Linked DNA regions of Anolis sagrei. The protein of the gene in region 2 binds, or shares a complex with, the protein of the main gene of each other region. Links are inferred from orthologs where the notes say so. Each region holds a gene or a part of one and is shown on either strand. Other genes may lie near its edges. The genes, in order: KANSL2, OGT, PHF20 and THAP1.

Region 1 (7,844 bases), on a different chromosome or scaffold from region 2:
AGTGCCTTTCGTGTTCCTGGATTCTTGTTTGGGCGCTGCGTTTGGTGGTCCCTATGTAGACTTGTCCACAGCTGCATGGTACACGGTAGACTCCTGCAGAGGTGAGAGGATCCCTCTTGTCCTTTGCTGAACGTAGCATTTGTTGAATTTTCTTGGTGGGTTTGTAGATAGTTTGTATGTTGTGTTTCCTCATCAGCTTCCCTATGCGGTCAGTGGTTCCCTTGATATATGGCAGGAACACTTTTCCTCTGGGTGGATCTTCATCTTTACTCTTGTGGCTTGTTCTTGGTCTTGCAGCTCTTCTGATGTCTGAGGTGGAGTATCCATTGGCCTGTAGAGCCCAGTTGAGGTGGTTCAGTTCATCTTGGAGGAGGTGGGGTTCACAGATTCTTTTTGCACGGTCTGCCAAGGCTTTGATGGTGCTTCTTTTTTGACTTGGGTGATGGTTGGAGTTTTTATGTAGATATCTATCTGTGTGTGTGGGTTTTCTGTAGACGGTGTGACCTGTCTGTGTTCCTGCCATATATCAAGGGAACCACTGACCGCATAGGGAAGCTGATGAGGAAACACAACATACAAACTATCTACAAACCCACCAAGAAAATTCAACAAATGCTACGTTCAGCAAAGGACAAGAGGGATCCTCTCACCTCTGCAGGAGTCTACCGTGTACCATGCAGCTGTGGACAAGTCTACATAGGGACCACCAAACGCAGCGCCCAAACAAGAATCCAGGAACACGAAAGGCACTGCAGACTACTCCAACCAGAGAAATCAGCCATAGCAGAGCACCTGATGAACCAACCTGGACACAGCATTTTATTTGAGAACACAAAAATGCTGGACCACTCTCACAACCACCATGTCAGGCTACACAGAGAAGCCATTGAAATCCACAAACATGTGGACAATTTCAACAGAAAGGAAGAAACCATGAAAATGAACAAAATTTGGCTACCAGTTTTAAAAAATTCTAAAATTAAAACAACAGAGAGAAAAACAGGCAGGGACATCTAATCACATTTCATTAAGAGTTTGCTCCAGGCACAGTCAGCCCATTGTATGCTAATCAAGGTGGTCAATTGAAAAGATTCACACCTAGCCCATCTTACAAAAGCCTTTTGTCTCACCCTGGTCTTTCCACAGATATATAAACCCTCTCTTTTTTCCCAGCTCCAGACCTCACCCTCTGAGGATGCCTGCCATAGATGCAGGCGAAACGTCAGGAGAAATGCCTCTAGAACATGGCCATATAGCCCGAAAAAACCCACAAGAACTGAGTGATTCCGGCCATGAAAGCCTTCGACAATACAATGTAGATTTATCTTGTACAATGGACTTCTCCTGAGATGGGAGAATTTATAATGACTGCTGGTTTTACTGCTGGGTCTATGGACCGCAATAAATATTGTTGTTGTTCTAGATCTGGGATATTTGGCACACAAAACTCCCATTACCAACAGAAAATACTGGAGGGTTTCTTTTTTTTTGGGGGGGGGGGGAGATTATGAGAGCTGCAGCCCACCCACATACAGAGACCATTGTGATCCTCACTGATGATGGATCTGGACTAAACTTGGCAGACAGATCCCTTATGACCAACTGTAAATACTGCGGGGTGGGTGGAAGGGGGCAATGGCAGAAGGTGAGTGGTAGTTTATCCACATCCTTACACATTTTCTAATGGAACTATTAATAAAACCGAAAAAGTATGCATGACTTTTATCCTTACCAAATACAAAAGCTGGTCATCACTGGGTACCAATGGTAAAGGTTTCCCCTGACATTAAGTCTAGTTGTGCCCAACTCTGGAGGTGGTGTTTATCTCCATTTCTAAGCCGAAGAGCCAGCATTGTCCGTAGACGCCTCCAAGGTCATGAGGCCAGCATGACTGCATGGAGTGCTGTTACGTTCCACTGAAGTGGCACCTATTGATCTACTCACATTTGCATGTTTTCGAGCTGCTAGGTTGGCAGAAGCTGGGGCTAACAACGGGAGCTTAACCTGCTCCCGGGAATAGAATTGCCGACCTCTCTGTCAGCAGCTCAGCAGCTTAACTCGCTGCACCACCGGGGGTTAGTATATAATTAAAGTGAATGTATGTGTGTGTGTGTGCATGCATGTATGCTTATACCACAAAGGCTCTTCTATAGCTTGATGGATCTGGACCAAACATAGCACATGTGCCTATCATAATCCAATTTAAAATAATTGAGGGGTTTTGACTAAAAAAACAACAACTAGAGGTGAGGGAAAGGAACAAAGCAGATTGGCTGTTGCTAGGTGAAGTGGCTCTCTGTCACGTGACTGAGAGGGAAGGGGGAGAGAGGGAAGGAAAGAAATAGAAAGGCTTTTAGGGGCCTCCCAGGCGCCCATATCATTCCCATAGAGAAGTTACATGGTAGGTAAGTTCTGAAGAGCCACGGAACCAATGCAGGCGCAGATAACGCCGAGTGTACTGGCTAGTTTGAACTAAGGAACACCACTATACTCAGCGCCCACGGGTGGAAGCAAACCTCCGCGGATACCGAGAGCTCACTGTAAGAAGTAGCAGCCACCCTTTCCCAATTTCCATCTGAATTGGATCCATTTTCCAGGCCTCCTCTGCTTCAACGCCCTCGAAGGCGAGGCGCGCGTTCCTGCCTCCTTCCCCTGTGTCCCCTCCCTCGTCTCCCTTGGCACCAGGCTTACTAACTACAGATCGCCTGTTTCCAGCAGGGAAAGCAAACGAAGCCGTTGTTTTAACGGGTAGACGTGAAGTACAGGCCCTGCCCCTAACCAGCTGAGTAACAGGGACCCTTTCCTTGTCTTTCCGCCTCCTTCGGCCATTACAACCGCTCTCAGGCCCAGACAATCCGAGCAGGCCTTCTTCTCCCCGCCGCCTCACCTCGGGCCCCTCCGCCGCCATCTTACCTTCCCTCTCGTGTTCTCAGCTCACACCTTCGCAAGGCCTCCAGCGCTCGGCTCGCCGACCAATCCGAAGACGGCCTGAGCACGGCCGCGATTGGTTAAAAGAGGCGTCACTCAGATGAGGTGGAGCAATGAGGTGCCGGTCTTCTCTCCTTCCTTCCTTCTCCCCGCCCACTGAACGATACAGGCTAATGGACATTGCTCAGAGCGGGAAGAGTCCGACTGGTCTATTGGCTGCGATGCTTGTCGCGTAAGCAAGGGCGGGGTTTGAGGTTGAGTGACAGCAGGGCGGCCGCGTGCTTTCCCTTCCGCCGGAAGGAAGGGCGCGTCTCGCTTTTTTAGGTCCTTTTGAAACAGGAAGCTCTCTAGGTTCTTGTGGGTTTTTTCGGGCTATATGACCATATTCTAGAGGCATTTTCTCCTGACGTTTCGCCTGCATCTATGGCAAGCATTCTCAGAGGTAGTGAGGTCTGTTGGAATTAGGAAAATGGGTTTATATATCTGTGGAATGACCAGAGTGGGACAAAGAGCTCTTCTCTGTTGGAGCTAGGTGTGAATGTATTGTCGAAGGCTTTCATGGCTGGAATCACTAGGTTCTTGTGGGTTTTTCGGGCTATAGGGCCATGTTCTAGAGGCATTTCTCCTGGCGAAACGTCAGGAGAAATGCCTCTAGAACATGGCCCTATAGCCCGAAAAAACCCACAAGAACCTAGGTGTGAATGTTTCAACTGACCACCATTAGCATTTGAAGACCTGGCTGAGCCTGGGGGAATCTTTTGTTGACACAGCATATTATTTGAGAACACAGAAATGCTGGACCACTCTCACAACCACCATGTCAGACTACACAGAGAAGCCATTGAAATCCACAAGCATGTGGACAATTTCAACAGAAAGGAGGAGACCATGAAAATGAACAAAATCTGGCTACCAGTATTAAAAAACTCTAAAATTACAACAGCAAAGCAGCAGAGAGGAAACAATCAGGCACATCTTAACACCTCTCAACAAAAGATTCCCCCAGGCTCAGCCAGGCCTTCAAATGCTAATGAAGGTGGTCAGTTGAAACATTCACACCTAGCTCCAGCAGAGAAGAGTCCTTTGTCCCACCCTGGTCATTCCACAGATATATAAACCAATTTTCCTAATTCCATCAGACCTCACTACCTCTGAGGATGCTTGCCATAGATGCAGGCAAAACGTCAGGAGAAAATGCCTCTAGAACATGGCCATATAGCCCGAAAAAACCCACAAGAACCTAGTGATTCCAGCCATGAAAGCCTTTGACAATACAGGAAGCTCTCTCTTTAAATACAGCCGTCCCTTTGTATCCGCTGGAATTGGGTTGCAGGGTCTTCGTGGATGCAGAAGGCGTCCCTTAGGTAATAGTATGAAAGCTGGGTCCGGAAGTTGAGAGGAACATGAGAACTGTGTTTCAAGATTTCAAAGGGTGTCCCATTGAGGAGGAGAAGGGGGGAAACTGACTTTCTGTTGCTCTAGAGACCAGGCCACAAGGGAGCAATGGTTTCAAATGGCAGAAAAAGAGTTTCAAACTGAAAAGATTAGGAAGAACTTCCTGGGGAGTAGCATAGGCTACCTGAGTGTGGTGGAGTGTCTTTCTCTGGAGGCTTTTCTGTAAAGGCTGTCTTCCAGGAGTGCTTTGATTGTACCTTCTTGCATGGCAGGGGGTTGGACTGGATGGCCCTGGGGGTTCTCTTCTGGCTCTAGGATTCTGTATCAGGAGGAGGCAATACGGAGTCTAATTGATACACTTTTCTCTCTCATCCACCATCTCATCCTGACCCAATTAGCATTCAAAGGTTTCTGGTCTCTCCTTCACTTTCTGCCTCCGAAAGGGGAGTAAAGGGCACGGAGGTGGCTTGGTGAGAACCCCCTTCCTCCTGGTCCGCCCACCCCACTCCAGCCCGCCATGAGGGCCCCAAGTTCGAATGCTTTATACACGCATACACATATTTTATATTAAAAACCTAACTTTACCTTTTGTATGGCTACGGTGGTTTACAGACTTCTTAGATTTGCTAAATACCTTCATTCACACACATTCTGTATCCAAGCCCTAAGTCGGTTTATCTTTCATTCATGATGTGGCCAGAGGTTGATACCAAGCTTCTTAAACCATTTTCCACTCATGACCCCTTTTTGGATCGAAAAACTTTTTACATGACACTAAATGGGTATAGAAATCAGGCATGATAACAAATCAGTATTTGCAAGGCTTGCTAATCAAGCTCATTTTTTCATTTCTGTGTACGTCTGAAGTATTTTTTGCCAAGTCCACTGTAAACACTGCAGATTTGTATAAATGTTCAGAAATTTATCGCAACCTTGATGTTGAGCCAAGGGGACCCCATTTGAGGTCTTCACCCAGTTTAAGAAGCAGTGCTTATGCCACTGGCAGCCTACAATAAACATTTGAATGCTTAGGTTCATGCTCCCATCGTTCTACTTTCCATTGCCCTGCCTTCAGCATTTTGTGAACACAGGACATATGGCAATGTGTGTGTGTAGCAGGTTCATTTCAATTTGGGAACAGAAAACCCAGGACACCTATGCCAGCCACGTAGCAGTTAAATGAGCCAATATTTTAATGCCAAGTGGTAACTGGCATTACTACTTGGCAACAACTTCCTCATATACAGCGTGGCTGATGGCAAGGTGACTTGGTGGTCCCTCATTCTTAGGACATGATGGAGCAATAGATTCAAATTGCAGAAAAAGAGATTCCACCTAAACATTGGGAAGAACTTTCTGACGATAAAAGCTGTTCAGCAATGGAATATGCTGTCTTGCAGGGTAGTGAACTTTTCTTCTCTGGAGATCTTTAAGTAGAAGCTGAATGACTATTTGATTGTGGGTTTCTGGATTGCTGCATGATCTCTTCCAACTTCATGGTTCTATGATCACCTTAAGTCAAAATCAACCTGATGGCAGTTAAACATCTCGTATACCTTGACAGCAATTCCAATTATGTACACATCCTAAGCCTACCTCTTTGTATGAAAACAGTGGAGGGCATTTCCACTAAACCATCTGCATAAAGCCTCATTCCAAGGCTAGATGATAGAAATACATCCCTATCTATCAGCACAGGAACAAGACGGAGAACACAGCCACAGATTTTATTAATTAGAACTCAGACAAAACAGTGGCACACACATTGGGTTGCCAGCAACTCAGCCATTTAATTGGAATAGATCTCATGGGCCGCCAAATCCAGTTCCCTCCTCAGTGCAAGATCAAACATCTCGAGAAGGAAGCCATCTAGCCTCTTTCTGAAGGCATCCAGAGGAAGAGACCCCACCACCTCTCTAGGCCCTAGGCAGTTGGTTCCATTGCTGAACACTTCAAATGCTCAATCAAAATCGAACTGTTAAATCTGGTCCAACCTTCTAGAGCTGCAGAGGGTAGGCCTTCCTTGCTGCAATAGCACTGGTATTTAGACTACAATCGTGTCACCCCTCAGTCTTCTCTTCACCAAGCTGAACGTGGTCACCTCCTTCAGCTTCTCACATTTTGCTCTCCATATTTCTTATCCTCATTATCTATCTTTGCTTCAACCCATAATCCTTTAAATGAGGTACCTGGAATTGAATGTAGATCAGGGTTGATCAGCACAGAATATAGTGGGACTATTACTTTCCTCAACTTGGGAAACTATGGTTCTATTAATGTAGGCTAGAATAGATTTCACCTTTTTTGCTGCAGCATCACACTGCTGGCTTGTGTTCAATGTATGATCAACAATCATCCCAAAGTTCTTTTCAAATGTTGTACGGCTGAGCCAAGTATCACCAGCTTCTGGGTTTTGTGCTCTATATGTAGAATTTTCAATATATACTATTGACTTCCTTTAGTATCTAATTTTATACTTCAACAAGTTTCTTCTGAAGTGTTCCCATCCTCCGGTGTGTTGACCACCCCTTCCATTTTTTAGCCATCTGTAAACCTGCTAAGGATTTCCTCTATCCTGTCATCTGAATAACTGATAAAAATTTTCACTTGTAAAAGCGCTGGAAGAGAAACCCGAAGCTCTCCACTTGAGAACTCCTTCCAGTTTGAAGCTACTGATGACGACTTTTCAAACAGTGTTTTCAACCAATATTATGTAACAAAATTTGAAAAAAAAATGTTTCTGGGTTTTATTTTGTGAAGATGTTATTTCCTGTTTAATTTTGCAGTACTTTCTTGGGAAGTAGTTTTTATATTCCAGAAACTTTGTTTTTGTGGCTTCTACAAACTATCCTGAATGGTTGAGACTCTGTGAGACACTCATTGAAAAACTATGTGCTGTAGGATATACTGCAAAAACTCAAGTGTTTGTAGTTTAATATTTTTTTCTGTTTTTATGACAGAACCAATTAGAAAATGACATTTATAACTCAGGAACAAAAAATTGTGTTGCATAGTGTAATAGTTCCATCTGACAGCGTTCTTATCTATTCCACACTGATTCAGATTTCCAATCAAATTATAGGGGATAATTATAGGGGATTGACATAATGTTGCTTGCAAGGGTGTAGACTGCCACATAGAACAAACTATTCTCAGGGAATCATCCTGGTCTCTGCAGCTGGCCTGTATGAGCTCAGAAAGCAGACCTTTGTTGTTTTCCTGTGCAACTGATTAAGTGCACAAAATGCCCTCCCCAGAATTTACCCCTCAAATCTACATAGTTTGAGGCCAGAGATACAACCCCGTGCTATACAACTTTTGTGGCTAATGGTTTTTATCTGCTGGTAACATTGCGTGCACTAAACTACACCATATCCAAGGCTGTCATGACAATATGAGTACAGGTGGAGAGAAGATAAGTATTTCTTGCATCAGATTTGATACATAGCAGGAATGGACAGATGCAGTGGGCCCATACTTACTCTGGACCCCATGGATTGAACATCCACTTTCTCAGATGA
Region 2 (8,006 bases):
CAGGCGTCACCTATGAATTATTAATAATATTATTATATTAAGTAATATTATGTCCTGCTTGTATTTCTCAAGAAGGTGAGATATAATAATGTATAATAAAAGGTACACCAGAAATAGCATTATTATCATTGTATGATAGTATTTTATCTTCACAAGAAGTGAATGAATTTATTTCCAACCTATTAACAGCAGTGAGACTGATAACTGCAAAAAAATGAGAAGATAAAAGCAAAATTCAACTGGAAGAATGGTATAGAGAAGTCTGGAACACAGTGAATAATTACTGTACTATTTTTGGATGATGGTTTGGTGTCAATTTAATATGTTTGTTTTAGTTAAAACCTTTCTATGGAACCAGGCCTTTTCTGAAATTCAACAACAGGCAATGGCCAGATAGATACAAGTACAGAAGAATCTCACTTATCCAACATAAACGGGCCGGCAGAATGTTGTATAAGTGAAAATGTTGGATAATAAGGAGGGCTTAAAGAAAAGCCTATTAAATGTAAAATTACATTATGATTATGTTACAATTTTACAAAGTATGCACCAATACATCATGTTTGACAACAAATCAACTGAAAAAGCAGTTCAATACACAGTAAAATTATGTAGTAATTACGGTATTTACAAATTTAGAATCAAACCAAACAAGGATTATTTATATCTCCAACAATGGACTGTGTTAGATAATAGAACGTTGGATAAACAAGACTCTACTGTAATTGTATATTTTTTGGAATGCTATTTTGGACCGGCAATATTTTAACATGGCCTAAAGGAAATGGAATTTTTGGGACCCTAGGATAAGTCTTTTTAATATTATCCTTAATGGCCTGAGAGTCAGGGAACTTTTAATGGTACGGTGGCATGTTATAATTTATTAATTTGTCAAATTTTGGCTTATGTAGTGTGTATCTTTGTTTTTGTTGACTCAAACAATGATGGATCTGGACCAAACTTGGCACGAATACTCCATATGTCCAAATATAAACACAGATAGCGTTTGGGGAAAATAGACCTTAACATTTGGGAGTTGTAGTTACTGGGATTTATAGTTCACCTACAATCAAGGAGCATTCTGAACCCCAACGACGACAGAATTGGGGCAAACTTCCCACACAAACCCTCATGACCAACAGAAAATACTGTGTATTATGGTGGTTTTTTGTGACCCTTCTGACACCCCCCTGGTGACCTCCCCCCCCCCCCGTCTTGACTTCCCACGTTGAGAAATGCTGCCTTAAGGCCACCCAGTCCAACTCCCTTCACCAGGGCAAGAAAACATAATCAAAGCCCTCCTAACAAAGGGCCATCTGGCCATTCACACACACAAATATATGTATACTAGCTGTCCCCTGCCACGCGTTGCTGTGGCCGAGTCTGGTGATCTGGAAAATAAAGTAATGAGAAAATGCTAGTTTTTAATATATGTAATTCCTTTATGCTTGTAGGTAAAGCAGTATTTCTTGCTGTTTCTTTGTCACTGTTGATGTGGAGATTGTTTGGTTTGCCTACTCGGAAACATATAATTGTCCTTCTTTAGGGGTCCCTTTCAAATCTAGGATATTATATCTGTGTGTGTGTGAATCATATACATCTATCTATATCTATGGCTGAATGGCTCTTTGTCAGGAGGGCTTTGATTATGTTTTCTTGCCCTGGTGAAGGGAGTTGGACTGGATGCCCTTAAGTATTTTCTGTTGGTCATGGGGCTTCTGTGTGGGAAGTTTGCCCCAATTCTCTCATTTGAGGGGATCAAAATGCTTTTTGATTGTAGGTGAACTATAAATCCCAGTAACTACAACTCCCAAATGTCAAGGTCTATTTCCCTCAAACTCAATCTGTGTTCATATTTGGGCATATGGAATATTTGTGCCAGGTTTGGTCCAGATCCATCATTGTTTGAGTCCACAGTGCTCTCTGGATGTAGGTGAACTACAACTCCCAAACCCATGGCCAATGCCCACCAAACCCTTCTAGTGTTTTCTGTTGGTCATGGGAGTCCTGTGTGCCAAGTTTGGTTCAATTCCATCATTGGTGGAGTTCAGAATGCTCTTTGATTGTAGGTGAACTATAAATCCCAGCAACTACAACTCCCAAATGACAAAATCATAATTTTTGAGTGATGGTCACTCCTTGTGTAGTGAGACGTTTTGTTGCCAAATTTGGTGTGATTTTGTTCATTGGTTCTTTTGTTTTTAAGGTACTCATTATGCACAGAGCATATATAGATAGATAGATGACAGATGCAGTATCAAAGGTTTGAAAGGGACCCCTAAAGAAGGACAATGATATGTTGCCTGTTCCAGGGTAGGCAAACCAGACAATCTCCACATCAACACTGACAAAGAAACAGAAAGAAATACTGTTTACTCACAAGCATGAAGACATTACATAGGTTAGAAAGTAACACTTTCTCATTATTTTCCAGATCACTATACTGGGCCACAGCAACGTGTGGCAGGGGACAGCTAGTATAATAATGTATTTATTGAAAAAAGCAAATACATCCTGGCAGCCTAAAGGACCTCCGACTTTAAATCCTCTTAAAGGAGTTCTATCCTTGTACTCAGCACAAGGCTGTGTTTTTTTAAACAGGGATTTTAAAGGGATTTATTCCAAAGGTCAGAGGCCAGAAAGCACGTGCTCGGCCTCCTTAGAAAACAACAGATCCCTTCTAAGAGAAACCTCAGCGATCAATTATTAATAGAGTGGAATATAAGGAGCAACCACACACACACAGACCCAGACACAATTGTTTCCGACCTCTCCCCCCTTTAGGCCCAATCCTCGGCGTGGCCTAGAAAACAGGCCCGAGACTGAGGAGGCCTCGTCCCAAGCGGGAGAAAATGAACAGGCAGGCCTTGACGAGGAATACCTGTGCTGTCGGCCACGTTCCCCACAGAGGCCGCCATGGCTTCCGCTGCTCCTCCTGCTTCGAGGCCGAAAGATTGTCTGACTGACTCACTCCGCGCCTCGCTTGCCCAAGCGGCGTCTCCTAAAATGGCGGCTGAGAGGCGGAGGGATGCAAGGCCTGGGCGGATCTTCTTCCAAGGAAAAGTAGTCCCTATTCCTAGTGCGGATGGGTGTGTTGTTTCCCTTTGTTTCCCTTCCTGACGTTACTCTGAGCCTTTCCTGCTCTGCTCTCTCTCGTATTCTCTCAACATTTCCAACAAGAAAAGGGACACGGAAAAAATATTGTCAAATCACCTCTCGGATCCACAGTATTCCTCCGCCAAACACTGCGACACATTGGCGCAGCGCGCATGCGTATTAGAGCTGCCTCTTCTCGTAAACGGAGGGGGTTCGAAGCGAGGAGTGACGGGAGAGAAAAGGGCGGGAGTTCGACTGCGGCAAGAGACCCGCAGCCCCGCCCCTTCTCCTCTCGCCACGGTGCAGTTTTCCCATAACCGGAAGTGACGGCATCTCAGGCGCCAGGGCACAAAATGGCGGATTCTACCTCAGTGATAACATTCCCAATGGGGGAAAATGTGGAAAACAACACACAAAAATAGCTATCTCGCACACAAAAATAAATAAGATAAAATAAATAAAGGACAACACTTAGAAAACAGGAAATCCTGACAGGAAACAACTAGGGCCAGCTAACACCTCCTAACAAAGGATTCCCCAGGGAGGAAGCTGCCAGGCCATTCAATGCTAATCAACATGGCTGTGCTGTCGCACGCTGGGCCTGTGCAAAAGGTCTGGAGAACAAGCCCTATGAGGAGCGGCTTAAGGAGCTGGGCATGTTTAGCCTGAAGAAGAGAAGGCTGAGAGGAGATATGATAGCCATGTATAAATATGTGAGAGGAAGCCACAGGGAGGAGGGAGCAAGCTTGTTTTCTGCTTCCCTGGAGCCTAGGACGCGGAACAATGGCTTCAAACTACAAGAGAGGAGATTCCATCTGAACACGAGGAAGAACTTCCTGACTGTGAGAGCCGTTCAGCAGTGGAACTCTCTGCCCCGGAGTGTGGTGGAGGCTCCTTCTTTGGAAGCTTTTTTTTTTTTTTGAAGTAAATTTTTATTAAAGTTTTCAGATAATATGGGGTTACAGGGAAAGAGTGGGAACAATATTCAAACAGAAAAAGAGTGAAAGAAATAAGGTAGACTTCTTTGGAAGCTTTTAAACAGAGGCTGGATGGCCATCTGTCAGGGGTGATTTGAATGCAATATTCCTGCTTCTTGGCAGAATGGGGTTGGACTGGATGGCCCATGAGGTCTCTTCCAACTCTTTGATTCTATGATTCTATAAGACTGTAGACAGGACACAAACTCTCTGTGCCCAACGGGATGCCGGGGCTGCCTCAGATTAAAGGCCCTTGGATTTCCTTAAAACAGAGTCTTTAGATTGCTTAAATGTTCAACAAAGTTCTTTATTATTAAAAACAAACAGGTACTTTAAGGCTTTCTTAATAGTCTATTGGATCTCTCTCAATCTTGTCCACAGGGAACAGGCACTATCTTCATAAACTGTAACTAATGGGGAAATCCTTAACTTCTAATCTGGACAGTCTGTCTTTGCCTCTGTTGGCGTGGAGCCCCTGCACCCGGTACCAACTGCTTCTGGCTTCCGCGAGCGACCCTTACCAAGCAGAGCTTTGTAGACTTCCAGGGGAAGGAGTTCAGGTTTCAGTGATGGCTGGCTGAAGTCCTTCAGCAAAGGAGCTGTAAGGCTGTATAACCCCAGTCAGGCGGTACACTGTATATCTCCCGGCCAAACCGTAGAAGACAAAGCTTTCTACAGGAGCTCTTGGTATTATGTCCTGCATGAAAGACTTCTCTGTGTGGACTGGACTCAAATTGGCTCCTATTCCCTCCAAAACCCAAAAAGGGGGGCGGGACTAGGGAACCTAACTATAATTGACAGGCAGCTTGCCCTATGATTGCAGCCAAAAGAAGCCTCTTATCTGCAGAGTCCCTGAAACTTAGGACTATAACAAACATTAAATGCAAACCAAACAAAATTGGAACTCCTGCCACAGTTGTACCTGCACAATAGCCAATTTAAACATTCACACTTGCCTCCAACAGACAATAATAATAATAATAATAATAATAATAATAATAATAATAATACTTTATTTATATACCACTCCATCTCCCCAAGGGGACTCAGAGCGGTTCCCAAGTAATATCACAAAACATCAGAGTAAAAACACTATAAGATTAACAAACAAAATATAAGCATAAAAATCGTCGCCATAACACACATATATAAAAAGTAATCCTGCCTGTTCAAGGCAATTAAAAATTTAAAAGGCCAGGCCAAGATTAGTGCAAGCCCCAAAATGCTAGGGCCCCCGAAAATTAAGTGCAATGCTATGGCAGGCAAAAATAATATGAGGTACGGGTCTGTGGCTGTTCATTCCAGGGCCAAATAGAGGAAAGAATCTGGGTAACTGGTAGGAAGAATAAGGCCGTATTAGACAATGTGTGGGGCTGAGTTAGAACTGGTCATTTTCAAAGGCTAGTTCTTTCTCCCACCCTGGACATTATTCCACATGTATATAAACTCCACTTGCCTCATTTCCAACAGACCTCACAACCTCTGAGGATGCCTGGCACAGATGTGGGTGAAATGTCAGGAGAGAATGCTTCTGGAGCGTAGCCATAAAGCCCGGAAAACTCTCAGAATCCCAATAAACTCTCCATTAGGGTTGCCTTTGGGCTCAATGCATTGAGGCAAGTGGGATGTCATCCAAGTCAGGCTAAATCTATCAAGTCTTCCTTCCCTCAAGACTCCTTTCCCCTGCTTTCCTTGTTGTTGTTGTTCATTCGTTCAGTCATTTCTGACTCTTCGTGACTTCATGGACCCGTCAGAGCTCCCTGTCGGTCGTCACCACCCCCAGCTCCTTCAAGGTCAATCCAGTCACTTCAAGGATGCCATCCATCCATCTTTCCCTTGGTCGGCCCCTCTTCCTTTTTCCTTCCATTTTCCCCAGCATCATCTTCTCTAAGCTTTCCTTTCTTCTCATGATGTGGCCAAAGTACTTCATCTTGGCCTCTACTATCCTTCCCTCCAATGAGCAGTTGGGCTTCATTTCCTGGAGTATGGACTGGTTGGATCTTCTTATGGTCCAAGTCACTCTCAGAACTTTCCTCCAACACCACAGTTCAAAAGCATCCCTCTTCCTTCGCTCAGCCTTCCCTAAGGTCCAGCTCTCACATCCGTAGGTGACTATGGGGAATACCATTGCTTTAACTATGCGGATCTTTGTTGCCAGTGTGATGTCTCTACTCCTCACCATTTTATCAAGACTGGTCATTGCTTTCCATACTTTGATATTAAACAAGGCTTTTTGAATTACATTTTCATTGCATTTCACATGCTTCAAAAGCCTATCCAGTAGATCCCAACATATTTATGAAAATCCTCTGTGGGCACAGTCTTGCACAGGAATGCCCCCAAAGTAGCCCCTTTCAGGTGGGGCCATGTGCCAAACAGGGATGGGGTGTTAGATCCCAACCTTATTTCCCATCTTCACCGCTATGATTCTGCACTGAAGGGGACAAGAGACAAGGGCCTGATTTAATTTGATTAATGAATAGCAATACTATGAAGAATGTTGTTGTTTATTCGTTCAGTCGTTCTTCGAGACCTCCTGGACCAGCCCAGGCCAGAGCTCCCTATCGGCAGTGGCCACCCTCAGCTCCTTCAAGGTCAAGCCAGTCACTTCAAGAATACCACAACTTAGACCCTGGGTGTCACAAACAGATGAAATCTGGAGAGATTCAAGAGGAAAGCAGCACACTCCCAGACTCCCAGGGCTTCCTCAATGTCTTCCAAAGGTCCTCCATGCCTCAACCATTGTTTGTTTGGGGCTTTGTCCTCCCCCCCCCCCCCCCGGTTGTTGTTGCTTATTCGTTCAGTCGCTTCTGACTCTTCATGACCTCCTGGACCAGCCCACGCCAGAGCTCTCTGTCAGCCGTCACCACCCCCAGCTCCTTCAGAGTCAAGCCAGTCACTTCAAGGATCCCATCCATCCCTCTTGCCCTTGGTCGGCCCCTCTTCCTTTTTCCTTCCATTTCCCCAAGCATCATTGTCTCCCCTAAGCTTTCCTGTCTTCTCATTATGTGGCCAAAGTACTTCATATTTGCCTCTAAGATCCTTCCATACAGAGAGCAGTCAGGCTTTATTTCCTGGAGGATGGACTGATTGGATCTTCTGGCGGCCCAAGGCACTCTCAGAACTTTCCTCCAGCACCACAGTTCAAAAACATCTATCTTCCTTCGCTCAGCCTTCCTTATGGTCCAGTTCTCACATCCATAAGTTGCTATGGGGATAACCATTGTGTTAACTATGCCTATCTTCATTGCCAGTGTGATGTCTCTACTCTTCACTCTTTTATTGAGATTGGTCATTGCTCTCCTCCCAAGAAGGAAATCTTCTGATTTCCTGGCTGCAGTCTGCATTTTATTTTATTTTATTTGCCATATTCTCAGCCCAAAGACGACGCAGGGCAGTTCACAGTTGGCAAAAAATAAAACAATCAACAAATAAAACAATCATAAAATACTGTTAAAACATTTAGCATAAAATATAAAAATATAAAAAAGACCATACAAAGCTGTAAAAACATTGTTGTGGGCATCTCCTTGTTAAAATCATTATTCAATTGCATCGTCAGGTCGTTCCATGATTTTGTGTAATTATTCTGAGTTAGCAAAGGCCTGCTAAAAAACCCCTGGTTTTAACCTTTCTTCGAAAAGTCAGGAGGGAGGGGACCAATCTTATATCCCTGGGAAGGGCATTCCACAGTCAAGGGGCCACCACTAAGAAGGCCCTGTCTCTCGTCCCCGCCAACGCATCTGCAGTAATCTTCATGGCTAGAAATACAAATTCTGTCACTGCATCCACGTTTTCTCCCTCTATTTGGCAGTTATCAATCAGTCTGGTTGCCATCATCTTGGAGTTTTTTTTGGGGTTTTTGGCGTTTAACTGCAATGTCCTCATTGTGAAAGAAACACAGTACAGATCCAGAATAAATCTCTATAGTCA
Region 3 (7,298 bases), on a different chromosome or scaffold from region 2:
ATACTATTTTTTTACAGAAAATTGCTCTCAAACAGATACTGACTAAAGACAGCTACTACGCAAATGAAAATAAAACCCAGTGCTACAATTTTATCATATAAAAGAAAAAAGGTGGCCCCAATCTAAAGAGCCAGTGTGATAAAGTGGCTTGAATGTTGTACTAGAACATTGGGAGACCATAGTTCAAATTCTCATGGAAGCCCACTGAGGCCCCATCTAGGCCAGCCATTTAATGCAGATTCAAACCAGTACTGAAGAAAGTGGTTTTCCTTTCGGACCGCATCTTGGCCTATGAGCCCACGAGGACCTTGAGATCGTCTGGGGAGGCCCTTCTCTCGATCCCGCCTGCCTCACAGGCACGTCTGGCGGGGACGAGAGAGAGGGCCTTCTCGGTGGTGGCCCCCCGGCTGTGGAACACTCTCCCTGCAGACATCAGACAGGCGCCCTCCCTCATGTCCTTCCGAAAAAGCCTTAAGACATGGCTGTTCGAGAAGGCATTTAATTAAGTGCTATAATAATGTGGTAAAGATGACTGGAATGGAACAAGGAATATGAGATTGGTTATGATTCCACTATGAGACGAAGCGGATTATTTAGTGTAACTTTATAATTGTTGTATTGTTAATATGTTGTTCTGTAATTGCCTTTTTGTAAATTGCCTTTTTATGTATGTTGTACACCGCCATGAGTCGCCCTAAAGGGCTGAGAATGGCGGTTAACAAATGCACCAAATAAATAAATAAATAAAAATTTTGTTATGCAAATGCTTACAAAGAAAATCTTGAAACCAAGTTTGAGGTTATGATTATAGAAACCACTGAGCACTGATGCACACTGAGGAGTTAATGTGTGGGGTGTTAATGCAGAACCCACCCCAGTTATGATAAAAGATTTTGGAAGGGGTTAATGTGTGGGGTTAACACAGAACCCACACCAGTTGTAATAAAAGTTCTGAAAAGGGTTAATGTGTGGGGTTAATAAAGAACCTACATCAGTTATGATATAGGTTTTGAAAGGAGTTAATGAGAACCCACACCAGTTATAATAAAAGTTCTGAAAGTAGTTAATGCATGGGATTAATGAAGAAGCTACACCGGTTATGACAAAGGTTTTGAAAGGGGTTAATGCATGGGGTTAATACAGAACCCACACCAGTCATAATAAAGGTTCTGAAAGGGGTTAATGCAGGGGGTTAATGCAGAATACACTCGGTTGTGATAAAGATTTAGAAAGGGGTTAATGTGTGGGGTTAATGCAGAACCCATACTGGTCATAATAAGGGTTCTGAGAGGGGTTAATGCTTAGGGTTAACGTGTGGAGTTAATAAAAAAAACCTATACCAGGCATGATAAACGTTTAGAAAGGGATTGATGCATGGGATTAACACAGAACCCACAGTGGCCATAATAAAGGTTTAAAAAGGGGTTAATGCATGGGATTAGCAAAGAACCCACAAGTATCATGATAAAGGGTCTGATGGGGTAATGTATGGGGTTGATGCAGAACCCATATTGGTCATGACAAAGGTTTTGAAAAAGGTTAATATTGTGTATAACACAGAACCCACACCAGTTATAATAAAAGTTCTGAAAGTAGTTAACACATGGGATTAATTAAGAACCTACACCGGTTATGACAAACGATTTGAAAGAAGTTAATGTGTGAGACTACTGCAGAACCCACATCAGTTGTGATAAAGGTTTTGAAAGGGGTTAATATGTGGGGTTAAAACAGAACTCACACCAGTCATAATAAAGGTTCTGAAAGGGGTTAACGCAGAACCCACCTCGGTTGTGATAAAGATTTAGAAAGGGGTTAATGTGTGGGGTTAATGCAGAACCCATACTGGTCATAATAGAAGTTCTGAGAGGGGTTAATGCTTGGGGTTAATAAAGAGCCAAGAACCTATACCAGGAATGATAAAGGTTTAGAAAGGGGCTGGTGCATGGGATTAACAAAGAACCCACAGTGGCCATAATAAAGGTTTAGAAAGGGGTTTATTTGTCGTGTCAAATAACCCCCTTTCTAAACCTTTATTATGGCCACTGTGGGTTCTGTGTTAATCCCATGCACCAACCCCTTTCTAAACCTTTATCATTCCTGGTATAGGTTCTTTATAGGTTTAGAAAGGGGTTAATGCGTGGGATTAGCAAAGAACCCACAAGGGTCATGATAAAGGTCCTGGCTGGAAGGGGGGCAGGTTAATGTGTGGGGTTAATGTAGAACTCATATTGGTCATGACAAAGATTTTGCAAAAGGTTAATGTGTGTGGATAAGGCAGAACCCACGCTGGCCACGATAATGGTTCTGAAAGGGGTTAATGTGTAGGCTTAATGCAGAACCCACATTGGTCTAATCATAAAGGGTCTGACAGGGGTTGATGCCGAAGCGTGGCTGGTGAAGATCAAGGTCACGTTACGGCTATCCTCGAAAGCCATCATCCCGGAGAAGGCTCAAGGAAGGCGCAGCTGGTGCCGTTCCCCTTTGGCTGCGGGCCACCGTTGGAAAGGGAAAGGGAAAGGAAGAGGGCGGGACGCGTGGCGAGGAGAGGAGAGGAAGCGGCCTCTCACACGAGAGCAGGCCGCCGAGCCCTACGCCCACATCCCGCCCGGCTAGAGGCGCCCGCGGGCCCGCTACCCAGCTTCCCTCCTTCGCTTTCCCTGAAGAGCAGGTCGTGAGGGAGGCTCCCTTGCGGCACAAGTAACCCTTCCACCCCTCCCAGGCCCCGGGACTCCCACAGTCACAACCGCGGCTGGTCCCCGCCCCTCTCCGCCGCCGCCGCCTTTGTGAGGGCCGCGGAGGGAGCCACGCTTTCTATTCCCCTCTCCCTCCATCCAAACAACGACTTGGAAGATGATGAAGGAGCGCCATGTCCTTACCGGGGGTCTCGCGCGGGAAGAGGCGCGAGCGAGGGAGCGGGTCCTCCTCCTCCTCCGCGCGCGCGCTCCGCTGTGAGCAGCAGCGCCACAAAATGGCCGCCACGGCTGCTGCGGCGCCCCTAGCTCGCTCGCCCGCCTGCCTAGAGAGAGAAGAAGGAGGGTCCTCCAGGGGGCGTGGCCAAGGCGAGGGGGCGTGGCGTCAACGGGACGACGGTTGGCCTAAGAAGGGAACCAACTGTCAGTCACTTCACAGCCTTTTTCCTCTCTGAGGCAGAACACAGGGAGTTGGTGCTGACTTTTGGACGGCCCTTCGACGCTGCTGGATAAAATCCCACATGATTCTCTTTGAACTGGGATATATGGCAGCAGGGCCGCAGCCAGAAAAAATATTCGGGAGGGGTTGAAATTTTCGGGGGGGGGGGTTGAAAATTTCGCGGGGGGCCCTAGGTAATTCAGCGGCGGCCCTAGGTAATTTTCAACGGTAAGCAAACAGTATTTTGGCACCCCACCCCCCCAACCAATCACTGATATATATTTTCTGTTCGTTGTGGGAGTTCTGTGTGCCATATTTGGTTCAGTTCCATCACTGGTGGAGTTCAGAATGCTCTCTGATTGTAGGTGAACTATACATCCCAGTATGTATGTATGCTCACTGGAGGGAAGGATACTAGAGACAAAGTTGAAGTACTTTGGCCACATCATGAGGAGACAGCAAAGCCTAGAGAAGATAAAGGAGCGCCATGATCTTCTGGGGAGGCCCTGCTCTCGATCCCGCCTGCATCGCAAGCACAGCTGGCAGGGACGAGAGACAGGGCCTTCTCTGTAGTGGCCCCTCGGCTGTGGAACTCCCTTCCCATGGACATTAGATCTGCCCCTTCGTTAATCGTGTTTCGAAGAAAACTAAAAACCTGGCTGTTTGAACAGGCGTTCAGATAAATAGTGCAATTGAACGATGAATATAGGAACGGATTTATGGATGACGAATTGGATCACGATTTTAGTTACGAGATGCTAATGTGTTGTTATTGATGTGTCATTATTTGTATACTAGGCTGTTAATGGTTTTAAATATTGTATGTTGTACGATTGACTTTTTTGCTCTTGTTGTGAACCGCGTTGAGTCGCCTACGGGGTGAGAAACTGCGGTATACAAGCAAAGTAAATAAATAAATAAATAAGACAATTATGCTGGGGAAAGTGGAAGGCAAAAGGAAGAGGGGCCGACCAAGGGCAAGATGGATGGATGGCATCCTTGAAGTGACTGGACTGACCTTGAAGGAGCTGGGGGTGGTGACGGCCGACAGGGAGCTCTGGCGTGGACTGGTCCATGAGGTTACAAAGAGTCGGAGACGACTGGACGAATGAACAACAACATACATCCCAGTAGCTACAACTTGCATATGTCAATGTCTATTTTCCTCAAGAGCGCCCCTGGGCAAAATCAACTATACTGCAAATGCTTACTTTGCGTAATGGGTGAGCTGCCCTGGGGGTGTTGAAGCCTGCCTCCTAGCTCACGCTGAAGCAAAGAGCACAGCAAAGGGCAGAGCAGCCTTCAATAGCCTGCAGCTCCGCCCCTGTCAACCACCTCCACCAAGTCTGGCCTCCTTAATGAGAGCATTCAACACACACACCCCAACTTGGTTGCTTCACAACATTGGCTATTCCTGCAAGTAATGACAGTGTGAATAAATTGTCAATATTTGCTTGAGATAGTGCTTACAGTTCTGGAGGGACTCTTAATTTTTTGCATCTCATAGACTTAGCATGGGGATTTGGTTCACCAGTTAAAATTCATGAGTAAACCAGGTTTTTAAAAAAAATCTGAAACATTTCGGGGGGGGGGTTGATCCCCTAACCCCTCCCCCCTCGCTACAGGCCTGTATGGCAGGACTCAGATAACACAGTTTAAAGCATATATTGTGGGATTTTCAAACTACAAGAAAGGAGATTCCATCTGAACATGAGGAAGAACTTCCTGAGTGTGAGAGCTGTTCAGCAGTGAAACTCTCTGCCCCAGAATGTGGTGAAGGCTCCTTCTTTGGAGGCTTTTAAGCAGAGGCTTGATGTCCATCTGTCAGGGGTGCTTTGAATGCTATTTTCCTGCTTTTTAGTAGGGGGTTGGACTGGATGGCCCATGAGGTCTCTTCCAACTCTATGATTCTACGGACAATGCCGGCTCTTCAGCTTAGAAATGGAGCGCACCGGGATTGTGGCGCAGTTGGCTGAGTGTCAGCTGCATTAAGATCACTCAGACCAAAAGGTCATGAGTTCGAAGCCAGCCCGGGTTGGAGTGGGTTTCCAAACAATTGTGTGTAGCCTGTTGTCAACCTTTGCAACCCGAAAGACAGTTGCATCTGTCAAGTAGGAAAATAAGGTACAACCTTAAAGTGTGGGGAGGCTAAATTAACTGATTTATGAGGCCATAAAGAAGACTCCAGCAAAGCATTCCAGCGGGGAAGCATGCAGGGAATGCGGAAGTGCTTCATCAGCGTCGCAGATGGACGATGAAAGCGACAGCTCCCCTGGTGGCCAGAAAAAAGTTAAATAGCCTCTGTGTATGTCTGTATATGTTTGTATGTCAAATTGGCATTGAATGTTTGCCATATATGTGTACATTGTAATCCGCCCTGAGTCCCCTGTGGGGTGAGAAGGGCGGAATATAAAAGTTGTAAATAAATAAATATTAATAGATGAGCACCAACCCCCAGAGTTGGACATGACTGGACTTAATGTCAGGGGAAAACCTTTACCTTTGTGTTGTTCCTTTGTGTTGTACCTTTACCTTTATATGTGTTGTACCTTTACCTTTGTGTTGTACCTTTACCTTTATATGGCAATTAAAGTGGTTTCAAGCTTCAAATACAGACACACACATATTTGGACACACATTTGGATGGAGTTACGCTTAAAAAAATGAACCTGCTCTAATTTACATACAAATCCAATTTAAGAACAGACCTACAGAACCTAACTTCCTCATAACTTGGGCACTGCCTGTATTGTATATATGGGCATGATGGGATATTTTGGAGATGGGAGCCAAGTCTGAACATGAAATTCCATGTATGTGTCGTGCACATCTTATATACAGAACCTGAAGGGGTAAAATATTTTAATCCTTGTGTGCCTGAAACAAAGTATATGTCCACTGAACCACCAGAAAGCAAAAGCACCACTATCTTAAGACACTTAAATAGAGAATTTCTGATTCTGAAATATTTTCAGTCTCTGGATAAAGGATGCTAAACTTGTACTATAACAGTGTTGTGTCACAAGCACAAATAGGCAGGATTATTTTTAATATATTTGTGTTGTTTTGATAATATTATGTTTATGTATGTTTTGGTGTTTGTTACTTGAGTCGCCTTGGGGAGATAGAGCTGTATATAAATAAAGTTTTATTATTAGTTTTATTATTATTTTCCACCTTGATATTCTGGGTTATATGGCCCTGTGTAGTAAGTAGTTTTAAGGGGTGACTGGAAAGTGTAGGACAGGCATGGGTAGACTTAGGCCCTCCGGGTGTTTTGAACATCAACTCCCACCATTCCTAGCAGCCTCGAGCCCTTTCCTATTTCCCTCAGGCAAACTTGGGCCCTCAGGGTGTTTTGGACTTCAACTCCCACCATTCCTAACAGCCCCAGGCGCCTTCCTTTTTCCCCTCAGGCAATCTTGGGCCCTCTGGATGTTTTGGACTTCAACTCCCACCATTCCTAGCAATCTTGGGGCCTTTCCTTTACCCCCTCAGGCAACCTTGGGCCCTCCGGGTGTTTTGGACTTCACCTCCCACCATTCCTAACAGCCTCAGGCCCTTTTCCCCTTCAGGCAAACTTGGGCCCTCTGGGTGTTTTGGACTTCAACTCCCACCATTCCTAACATCCTCAGGCCCTTTCCTTTTTCCCCTCAGGCAAACTTGGGCCTTCTGGGTGTACTTCAACTCCTGTACTTCAACTCTGTACTTCAACTCCTACCATTCCTAACAGCCTCAGGCCCTTTCCTTTTCCTCCTCAGATGCTTAAGCGGCTGAGGGGGGAAAGGAAGAGGCCTGAGGCTGTTAGGAATGGTGGGAGTTGAAGTCCAAAAAACCCAGAGGGCCAAATTTGGCCCCTGCCTGGTGTACTAAATATTGTGGTGATTTTTCAAAACAATCTTTGAAACTGCATTACATTGTTTATGTAGATGTGGCCTTATTGGGTTTCCAGGACGGGTGAGGATTCGAAGCCTGGTCTCCCAATGTCCTAGCATAATATTCAAATCATTATACCACATTGGCTATTTAGATAAGAGATAACAGAAATGGAAAACACATACTTAGATGGCTTCTATTAGGCACAATGGCTGAGGCGGTAGTTTTGGGATGTCTTGAGAGGGCACCAAAATGTTAATGTATTAGTGTATGTTTACTCTTGTATAGAC
Region 4 (8,018 bases), on a different chromosome or scaffold from region 2:
GACACTTACTTCTTGGGAGGAGAGCAATGACCTATCTCGATAAAATAATGAAGAGTAGAGACATCACACTGGCAACAAAGATCCGCATAGTTAAAGCAATGGTATTCCCTGTAGTAACCTATGGATGTGAGAGCTGGACCACAGGGAAAACTGAGTGAAGGAAGATAGATGCTTTTGAACTGTGGTGTTGGAGAAAAGTTCTGAGAGTGCCTTGGACAGCGAGAAGATCCAACAAGTCCATAATCCAGGAAATAAAGCCCGACTGCTCCTTGGAGGGCAGGATATTAGAGGCAAAGATGAAGTACTTTGGCCACATCATGAGAAGACAGGAAAACTTAGAGAAAGCAATGATGCTGGGGAAAATGGAAGAAAAAAGGAAGAGGGGTGGACCAAGGGCAAGATGGATGGATGGCATCCTTGAAGTGTCTGACTTGACTCTGAAGGAACTGAGGGTGGTGACGGCTGACAGGGAGTTCTGGCGTGGGCTGGTCCAGGAGGTCACGAAGAGTCAGAACCGACTGAACGAATAAACAACAACAACACAGACAATGCCATTGGTGTTGCCCGTTTTTGGTCAAAACATCGAGAAAACCAAAGTGCTCTTCCAGCAGTCACCAGTCAATCCCTCTCCAATACCAGAGATACAGCTTAATGGTGTAATATTAGAAAATGTTGACCATTTCCGCTACCTTGGCAGCGGAAATTGTCACCACAAAAGCCACCACAAAAGTCAACATTGACACTTATATACACCACCACCTGAGCTCTGCGAATACAGCATTTTTCTGAATGAAGCAGAGAGTGTTTGAGGATGGAATATCCATAAGGATACCAAGGTGCTTGTTTATAAAGCTATTGTCCTCCCAACCCTGCTATAAACCTGCGACACGTGGGCTATCTACAGATGTCACATGCAACTCCTCGAATGATTCCACCAGCGCTGCTTCCAAAAAATTCTACAAATCTCTTGGGAAGACAAGCGGACAAATGTCAGTGTGCTCGAAGAAGCAAAGACCACCACCAATGAAGCAATGGTCCTCCACCATCAACTCCGCTGGATTGGCCACATTGTCTGGATGCCAGACCACTGTCTCCCAAAGCAGTTGCTCTACTCTGAACTCAAAAACGGAAAACAAAATGTTGGTGGACAGGAAAAGAGATTTAAAGATGGGCTCAAAGCTTTGAGATCTTCCGGGGAGGCCCTGCTCTCGATCCCGCCTGCGTCACAGGCACGGCTGGCGGGGACGAGAGATAGGGCCTTCTCGGTGGTGGCTCCTCGGCTGTGGAACACCATTCCCGTGGACATCAGGCTACCCCCCTCCCTGTTGATATTCCACAGGAAGTTAAAGACCTGGCTATTTAAGAAGGCATTTGACCAAGAAGTGCAATGACTGGTAATTTGACCATAGGAATGGAACAACGGAAATGATATCGGATTGTGGGTTGACGATGAGACGATTCGGAATGTAGTAGAAATTTGGTAGTAATGTTGATGTTTTGATAAGATGTTTTTCTGATAATGATGAATTGTAGATTATTTTGCACTATGTTTTGTAATTTGCACTTGTTTTTTCATGTTGTACACCGCAATGAGTCGCCCTTGGGCTGAGAATTGCGGTATATAAGCGCAGTAAATACATAAATAAATAAATAAAAGCCAACCTTAAAAACTTTGGCATAGACAACGAGAACTGGGAAGCCCTGGCCCTTGAGCACTCCAGCTGGAGGTCAGCTGTGACCAGCAGTGCTGTAGAATTTGAAGAGGCACGAATGGAGGGTGAAAGAGAGAAACGTGCCAAGAGGAAGGTGCGTCAAGCCAACCCCAACCGGGACAGTCTTCCACCAATGCCCTCACTGCGGGAGAAGATGCATGTCAAGAATCGGGCTCCACAGTCACCTACAGACCCACCAACCTTGGAGGACCATCATCCTCGGACTATGAGGGATTGCCTAAGTAAGTAAGGTCAAAACATATTTAGCTGCTTGCGTTCCTTCTATTTTTATCAGTTTTATACTAATTTATGCAATGCTTTTGACATGAAATAAATACTTGAATGACTACCAACAAGTCCACCGATGTCATGGATGGTGCCTTCATTTTACACCATGAAATCCCCTAACATCCCACAATATATCACACATGCGACATGTACATATTTTGCCCTTCACCTTTTTTAGGGCTTATCCTGATAAGGAATGAGTCCATGATTGCCATTATGCCTGATTTTTCCAGGTGTTTTGGACTTCACCTGCATGAATTTCTGACAGTTGGCCAAATATCTAAAACAAATGGAGCTTTGAAGCAACATGACCAAGAGACTATTCCGTTTGACCAGTTTGAAAACAAAATGACAGCCCTCCGACGTCACTGTCAGTCAGGCGACGGTTGAAACGGGCGCGCGTTCCAAGGCCTCAAAGTCAAGCCTCAGTCCCAACGGTTCTGTTGAAAGCCTGCGCGCGCGAGGGAGAGAAAAAAAAGAGGGGGTGCGCGTGCGTGCGTGCGCGCGCGACTACCCCAGCCTTGCTTTCTTTGCTTAGAGACCTTTTTTTGAGGCACCCCCCTCCCTCTCTAAGGAGCGTGCGCGCGCACTCGTCCACGCATGCGCTCTGGCTCCGCCTCCCTTTCAAGGCAGGACAGCTCGCTCTCTCTCTCTCCTTGCGAGCTCTCCTGCCCCCGCCCCTCCCACTCACTTGTGGAAAGAGATAGGCTTCTCTTTGTCGTATCGATTCCGGCAACGGTAGGCAGAGCAGGACTGCACCATCCTCTCGTTGCCGTTCGCCACGGATCCTCGGCCGCCACCGCTTTGCTCCCGTTTTCGGCAGGAATGGGCCAACAGGAGGATAGGCCGCGCCGCCCTGCCCTTAGGGCCTCAGCGGGGCCTTAGCGTCCTTCTCTGAAAAAATAATAAACATTGGTAAACCCTAAAGGACGACATCAGCGGGATGTGGCCTCTCCCTACTCCAACATGGCGGTGCCAGCTTCAGGCGAACTCTCTCGAGAACTCGGCGCCAGGCTTGGCGATTGGTCCCTCCCCGCGATGTTTTGGTGCGCCTCGCTTCTGCTCGGCCCGGCCAATGAGAGCGGCGCTCGGGGCTTTGACGCACGGGCTGCATTTGGGCGCCTGGGCCCGCCAAGAGGCGCGCGCGCATGCGCAGTGGCTTACTACCCTGATCGAAAGCGCTGGCTTAGTGCTTTACTTCAAGTTGTCCCTTCCTTGCTTCTGATTTTAGGCCGGTTTTAAAACGAAGCTTGAGACGGTGAACATATTTGTATTTCTCTATTTCTATATAAGTGTAGGACTGAGTTGCAAGTGTCTTTTTATTTATTTATTTATTTACTTACTTACTTTGTATACCGCAGTTTCTCAGCCCATAGGCAACTCAACGCGGTTCACAACAAGAGCAAAAAGACAATCATAACAATATACAATTTAAAAACCATTAAGAGCATAATATACAAAGTAATGACACATCAATAACAACACATTAACGTCTCGTAACTAGAATCGTGATCCAATTTGTCGTCTATAATTCCGTTCCTATATTCATCGTATTCATTGCACTGTTTATCCGAATGCCTGTTCAAACAGCCAGGTTTTTAGTTTTCTTCGAAACACGATTAACGTAGGAGCTGATCTAATGTCCATGGGAAGGGTGTTCCACAGCCGAGGGGCCACCACAGAGAAAGCCCTGTCCCTCGTCCCCGCCAGCCATGCTTGTGATGCAGGCGGGATTGAGAGCAGGGCCTCCCCAGAAGATCTTAGAGTCCTGGTGGGTTCATAGGCAGAGATACGTTCGGATAGGTAGCTTGGGCCAGAACCATTTAGGGCTTTATAGGCCAACGCCAGCACTTTGAATTGAGCACGGTAGCAAATCGGCAGCCAGTGGAGCTGGTGCAGCAGAGGAGTTGTATGCTCCCTGCGCTCCGCTCCTGTTAGTATCATGGCTGCCGAGTGTTATTTCTGTCACTAACAAGTTATTGGGCATGCATCTACACTGTAGGAATGATGCAGCTTGATACCACTTTAAACTCCCATGACTCAGTGCTGCAGAATCATTGGAGATGTCGTTTGGTGAGATAAAATAGTGTTTTGCTTTGTTTTTTGTCGTGTCAGGGCAAGAGGATGTGAGGGCGATCTGACTGCGACATCTGTCACCCCATTGATTGCCAGGGTTGATTCGGCTGATCTGGCTGGCTAGGCGGGTGTCCCCTTCCTCCCTCACCGCTGTGCGCTCGGTGGAAGAGGACAACGTCCCAGGTATAGAAGGAGTGTACCGAGGTCTCCAGTCTTCAGTCCCGGGTTTACGATAGCTGCACTCCCCTGCTAGACCCTCCAAACAAGCTCAAGATAAAATAGTGAAGAGTAGAGACATCACACTGGCAACAAAATCTGCATAGTTAAAGCAATGGTATTCCCCATAGTCATCTACGGATGTGAGAGCTGGACCATAGGGAAGGCTGAGCGAAGGAAGATAGATGCTTTTGAACTGTGGTATGATGAATATGAAGAGTATGATGCTGGGGAAAATGGAAGGAAAAAGGAATAGGGGCCGACCAAGGGCAAGATGGATGGATGGTATCCTTGAAGTGACTGGATTGACCTTGAAGGAACTGGGGGTGGTGGAGACCAACAGGGAGCTCTGGCGTAGACTGGTCCATGAAGTCACGAAGAGTCGGAAACAACTGAACGAATGAACAACAACAAAACTACAGCTTCCACAATTCCATCTCATTGTGCCATGGCACTTGTGGTGTCAAACTGCATTAAAGCCACTGTTTAGATTTATTTATTTATTTACCGACTCAGGGCGGTTCACAGTTGGCAACATTTGATGTCTCATCAAATATTGTGAAAAACATTTGTGTAAAATATAAAAATTGTACAAAACCATAAAAACATTATCATGAGCATCTCCTTGTTAGAGGCATCTTAGGGAAGCACTAACTCTGTTTGAGTCCACTTTGACTGCCATGACTGGGATTTCTCTGGAATTTGCTGCAATAGAGAGATCTAGGTTTGTAGTTCAGATGAGTTAAATGGAGCTGTCCAGCGAAGAGTTTAGCTTCAGGCTAAACTAGACTACAGACACAAGGATCCCATAGGATGGAAACAAGGTAGGGAGACATTTATTTCACATGGTGTCTGAATGCATCACTACTGTGCACACAATGCACTCTTGGCTCATTTGTGTGTGAGAGCCAGTACATTTGGAAATGGCAACCCATTGCAAAATCTAGGAAACCACTGCATAAAGATCTCCTGGAGAAGGTCTGGCGTGCTCGCTTCGGCAGCACATATACTAAAATTGGAACGAGAAGGTCTGGCATCTCAGTGTAAGGTTCCCCGTTCCTGGTTTTACAGGATGCTTGCTTATGAATATATTGAGTCCCCTCTGGGAAATATAAAGTAGAGTATATATATAATAATATTAATAATCTTTGTTAGGAGCCCCCGGTGGCGCAGTGGGTTAAACCCCTGTGCTGGCAGGACTGAAGACCGACAGGTCGCAGGTTCAAATCCGGGAAGAGGCGAATGAGCTCCCTCTATCAACTCCAGCTCCTCATGCAGGGACATGAGAGAAGCCTCCCACAAGGATGATAAAAACATCAAATCATCCGGGCGTCCCCTGGGCAACGTCCTTGCAGACGGCCAATTCTCTCACAGCAGAAGCGACTTGCAGTTTCTCAAGTCGCTCCTGACACGACCAAAAAAAAAATCTTTGTTTACACATTTATGCCCTGACTTTTTTAAAAAAAAAATCCCACAAAACACCTTACAGATAGAGTGAAAGCATTGGACAATTGAGTAATGAGGAACCTTGCTGGCTTCGATATAGGCTCATTTTTAAAGAGAAAAAAGATGATAACATGATTTTTCAAATGACTAGGCATTGTCCAGTGGAAAATATACTGTTGAAGAAACACCTTCAACAGTATATGTTATGGGAAGAGAATAACATTTTTTTACGTTTTTGACATATCCATCAGCTTTCCCCTCCCCCACAGATCATGACAATATCTGCTATGCTTCTTCAGCATCTACTTGCTATTCATATTTAGAGGTTGCCTTGCATGTGTTGCCATCAAAAGAAATGAAACAGATCCATAACATTTTTATTTATGTGTACAGCTGAGCAGCACCCTCTTTTACTGTAGAAATTTGTCTGAATCAGTGTGCGTAGCTCCCTCATCTTGCTTTAAGGGTTAGGGTGTAAGCATTTTGGTCAACCATAGTTTCAATATATTTTCCCAAGCAACAATTAAATAAGTGCACCTGGTGAAAAAATACATGAGTTTACCACCTCTTGCACCTGCTGCGTGGCATGTACTGACATTGCTCTTCCCTAAGGGCTGCAGAGGCGGTATGCAAATACATCAAAAACCTATGTGGTTTAATCCAGTCTAGAAAAAAAGTTGAAATACAGTTTTATAGTCTGACTAGCTGTACCCAGCCACGCGTTATGAGGCATATAGGTATTATTATTATAGATGTTATTTATTTATTTATTTCATATCAAAAGCATTGCATAAATTAGTAGAAAACTAGTAAAAAATAGAAGGAGCACAGGGCTAAATATTTTTTGAGCAAAAATGGGCAACAGATGTATGGATATTATTACAGACCGATAGATATTATTATAGGCATATAGATATTACTATTATTATAGATATTATATAGCTATTATTATAGATGTATACATATACCTATATTATACCTATATAGATATTATTATTATTATTATAGTCACGGATATAGGCAGACAGGTATTATTATTATAGATGTATAGATATTATTGACAGATAGATAATATTATAGACATATGGATGTTATTATAGACCTACAGATATTATTATGGGCATATAGACATTATTATTACAGACGTACAGATATTGTTATAGACTTGTAGATATTATTGTTACAGACATATAGATACCATAGACATATATATATTATTATAGACGTATAGATAATATTATGATAGATATATAGACATTATTATTGTAGATATTATAGCCCAGGGTTGCTATAAAGTAAAAATGGATGGCCATCTTTTGGGAGTGTTTTGATTGTGTCTTCCTGGACAGCCTTTCCTAATTCACAGTGCGTGCCTTCCCTGTTTTTGTCCTTTCTTTGAATACTGGACTTCATTTCCCAGAATTCCTTCCCATAACTCATTATGGGTGAGCTTTCTAGGAGTTGAAATATGTAGAGATATGTGTGCATATAGGTATGTGTGTGCCTACACATACGCGCACACACACAATCCCTCCCGTGTGAGTTCCCGGCAGCCTAGTGGAGGCGCCTCCATGCTGCCGACCCAAGCGCCCCGAGTCCCAGGCAGCCAAGAGGGAAGCGAAAGGAAAGGAAGGGGAGGGGTGGATCTGGAGGAGGGTGTCCTCTTCTCTCTTTCCCTCCCTCCCTCCCTCCCTCTCTCTCTCTCAATCCTTTGGGAAGAGAGAGGCAGGGGGTAGCGAGAGAGCTATATGGGCCACCTTTCCCTCCCTCTGTCAAGCCACCTATCTCTAAGCTGTTGGGTTTTTTTTCCTCATGCAGGAGGGAGGGGTGCGGGTGTTGTTTTAACGCATGCTCTGTATAGTCATTTAGCTTTGTGGGGGTTTTAAGTTCTCTCCGGTTATTTTTGTTTTGTTTTTTTTTTTTGTTTTTTTTAGTGAACGACATACATTGGTATAGTTGGTGTATTGTGGCCAAATTTTATGTCAATTCATCCATTGGTTTTTGAGTTATGTTAATCCCACAAATGAACATTACATTTTTATTTATATAGATATACAGTCCACCTTGGGCATGGCTCAAAGGGATAAGATTTATAATTTAGAAGTGTTGTTCCCGGAGACCAAGGTAGCTGCTATGGCCAGAAGTGCCTTTGTTAGACTTTGTTTATGAGTTATCTTCCTTGAAAAATAAATCTGACCATTTAATAGTTGATCACATATTTAATTATTTCTAATTTATCCTTCATACAATAGATTACAGTTAACTTAAATCCCATTGATT

Evidence for each region.
Region 1: OGT (region 2) and KANSL2 share a complex: the UniProt entries of both Homo sapiens proteins name them as parts of the NSL complex. The link is inferred for Anolis sagrei from reciprocal best matches to the Homo sapiens genes OGT and KANSL2.
Region 3: OGT (region 2) and PHF20 share a complex: the UniProt entries of both Homo sapiens proteins name them as parts of the NSL complex. The link is inferred for Anolis sagrei from reciprocal best matches to the Homo sapiens genes OGT and PHF20.
Region 4: OGT (region 2) and THAP1 share a complex: the UniProt entries of both Homo sapiens proteins name them as parts of the THAP1/THAP3-HCFC1-OGT complex. The link is inferred for Anolis sagrei from reciprocal best matches to the Homo sapiens genes OGT and THAP1.

The regions. Positions count from the first base shown.
Region 1 is NC_090022.1:137,522,449-137,530,292, forward strand, and holds the start of KANSL2 (KAT8 regulatory NSL complex subunit 2), read right to left. Parts: upstream 3,003-7,844; 5' UTR 2,914-3,002; exon of another isoform or gene 2,888-2,913; intron 2,873-2,887; exon of another isoform or gene 2,780-2,872; intron 1-2,779. UniProt on the Homo sapiens protein: Non-catalytic component of the NSL histone acetyltransferase complex, a multiprotein complex that mediates histone H4 acetylation at 'Lys-5'- and 'Lys-8' (H4K5ac and H4K8ac) at transcription start sites and promotes transcription initiation.
Region 2 is NC_090030.1:21,093,311-21,101,316, forward strand, and holds the start of OGT (UDP-N-acetylglucosamine--peptide N-acetylglucosaminyltransferase 110 kDa subunit), read right to left. Parts: upstream 3,016-8,006; 5' UTR 2,919-3,015; coding exon 2,882-2,918; intron 1-2,881. UniProt on the Homo sapiens protein: Catalyzes the transfer of a single N-acetylglucosamine from UDP-GlcNAc to a serine or threonine residue in cytoplasmic and nuclear proteins resulting in their modification with a beta-linked N-acetylglucosamine (O-GlcNAc).
Region 3 is NC_090024.1:207,253,687-207,260,984, reverse strand, and holds the start of PHF20 (PHD finger protein 20), read right to left. Parts: upstream 3,016-7,298; 5' UTR 2,880-3,015; intron 1-2,879. UniProt on the Homo sapiens protein: Methyllysine-binding protein, component of the MOF histone acetyltransferase protein complex.
Region 4 is NC_090022.1:156,694,229-156,702,246, forward strand, and holds the start of THAP1 (THAP domain-containing protein 1), read right to left. Parts: upstream 3,002-8,018; 5' UTR 2,763-3,001; coding exon 2,692-2,762; intron 1-2,691. UniProt on the Homo sapiens protein: DNA-binding transcription regulator that regulates endothelial cell proliferation and G1/S cell-cycle progression.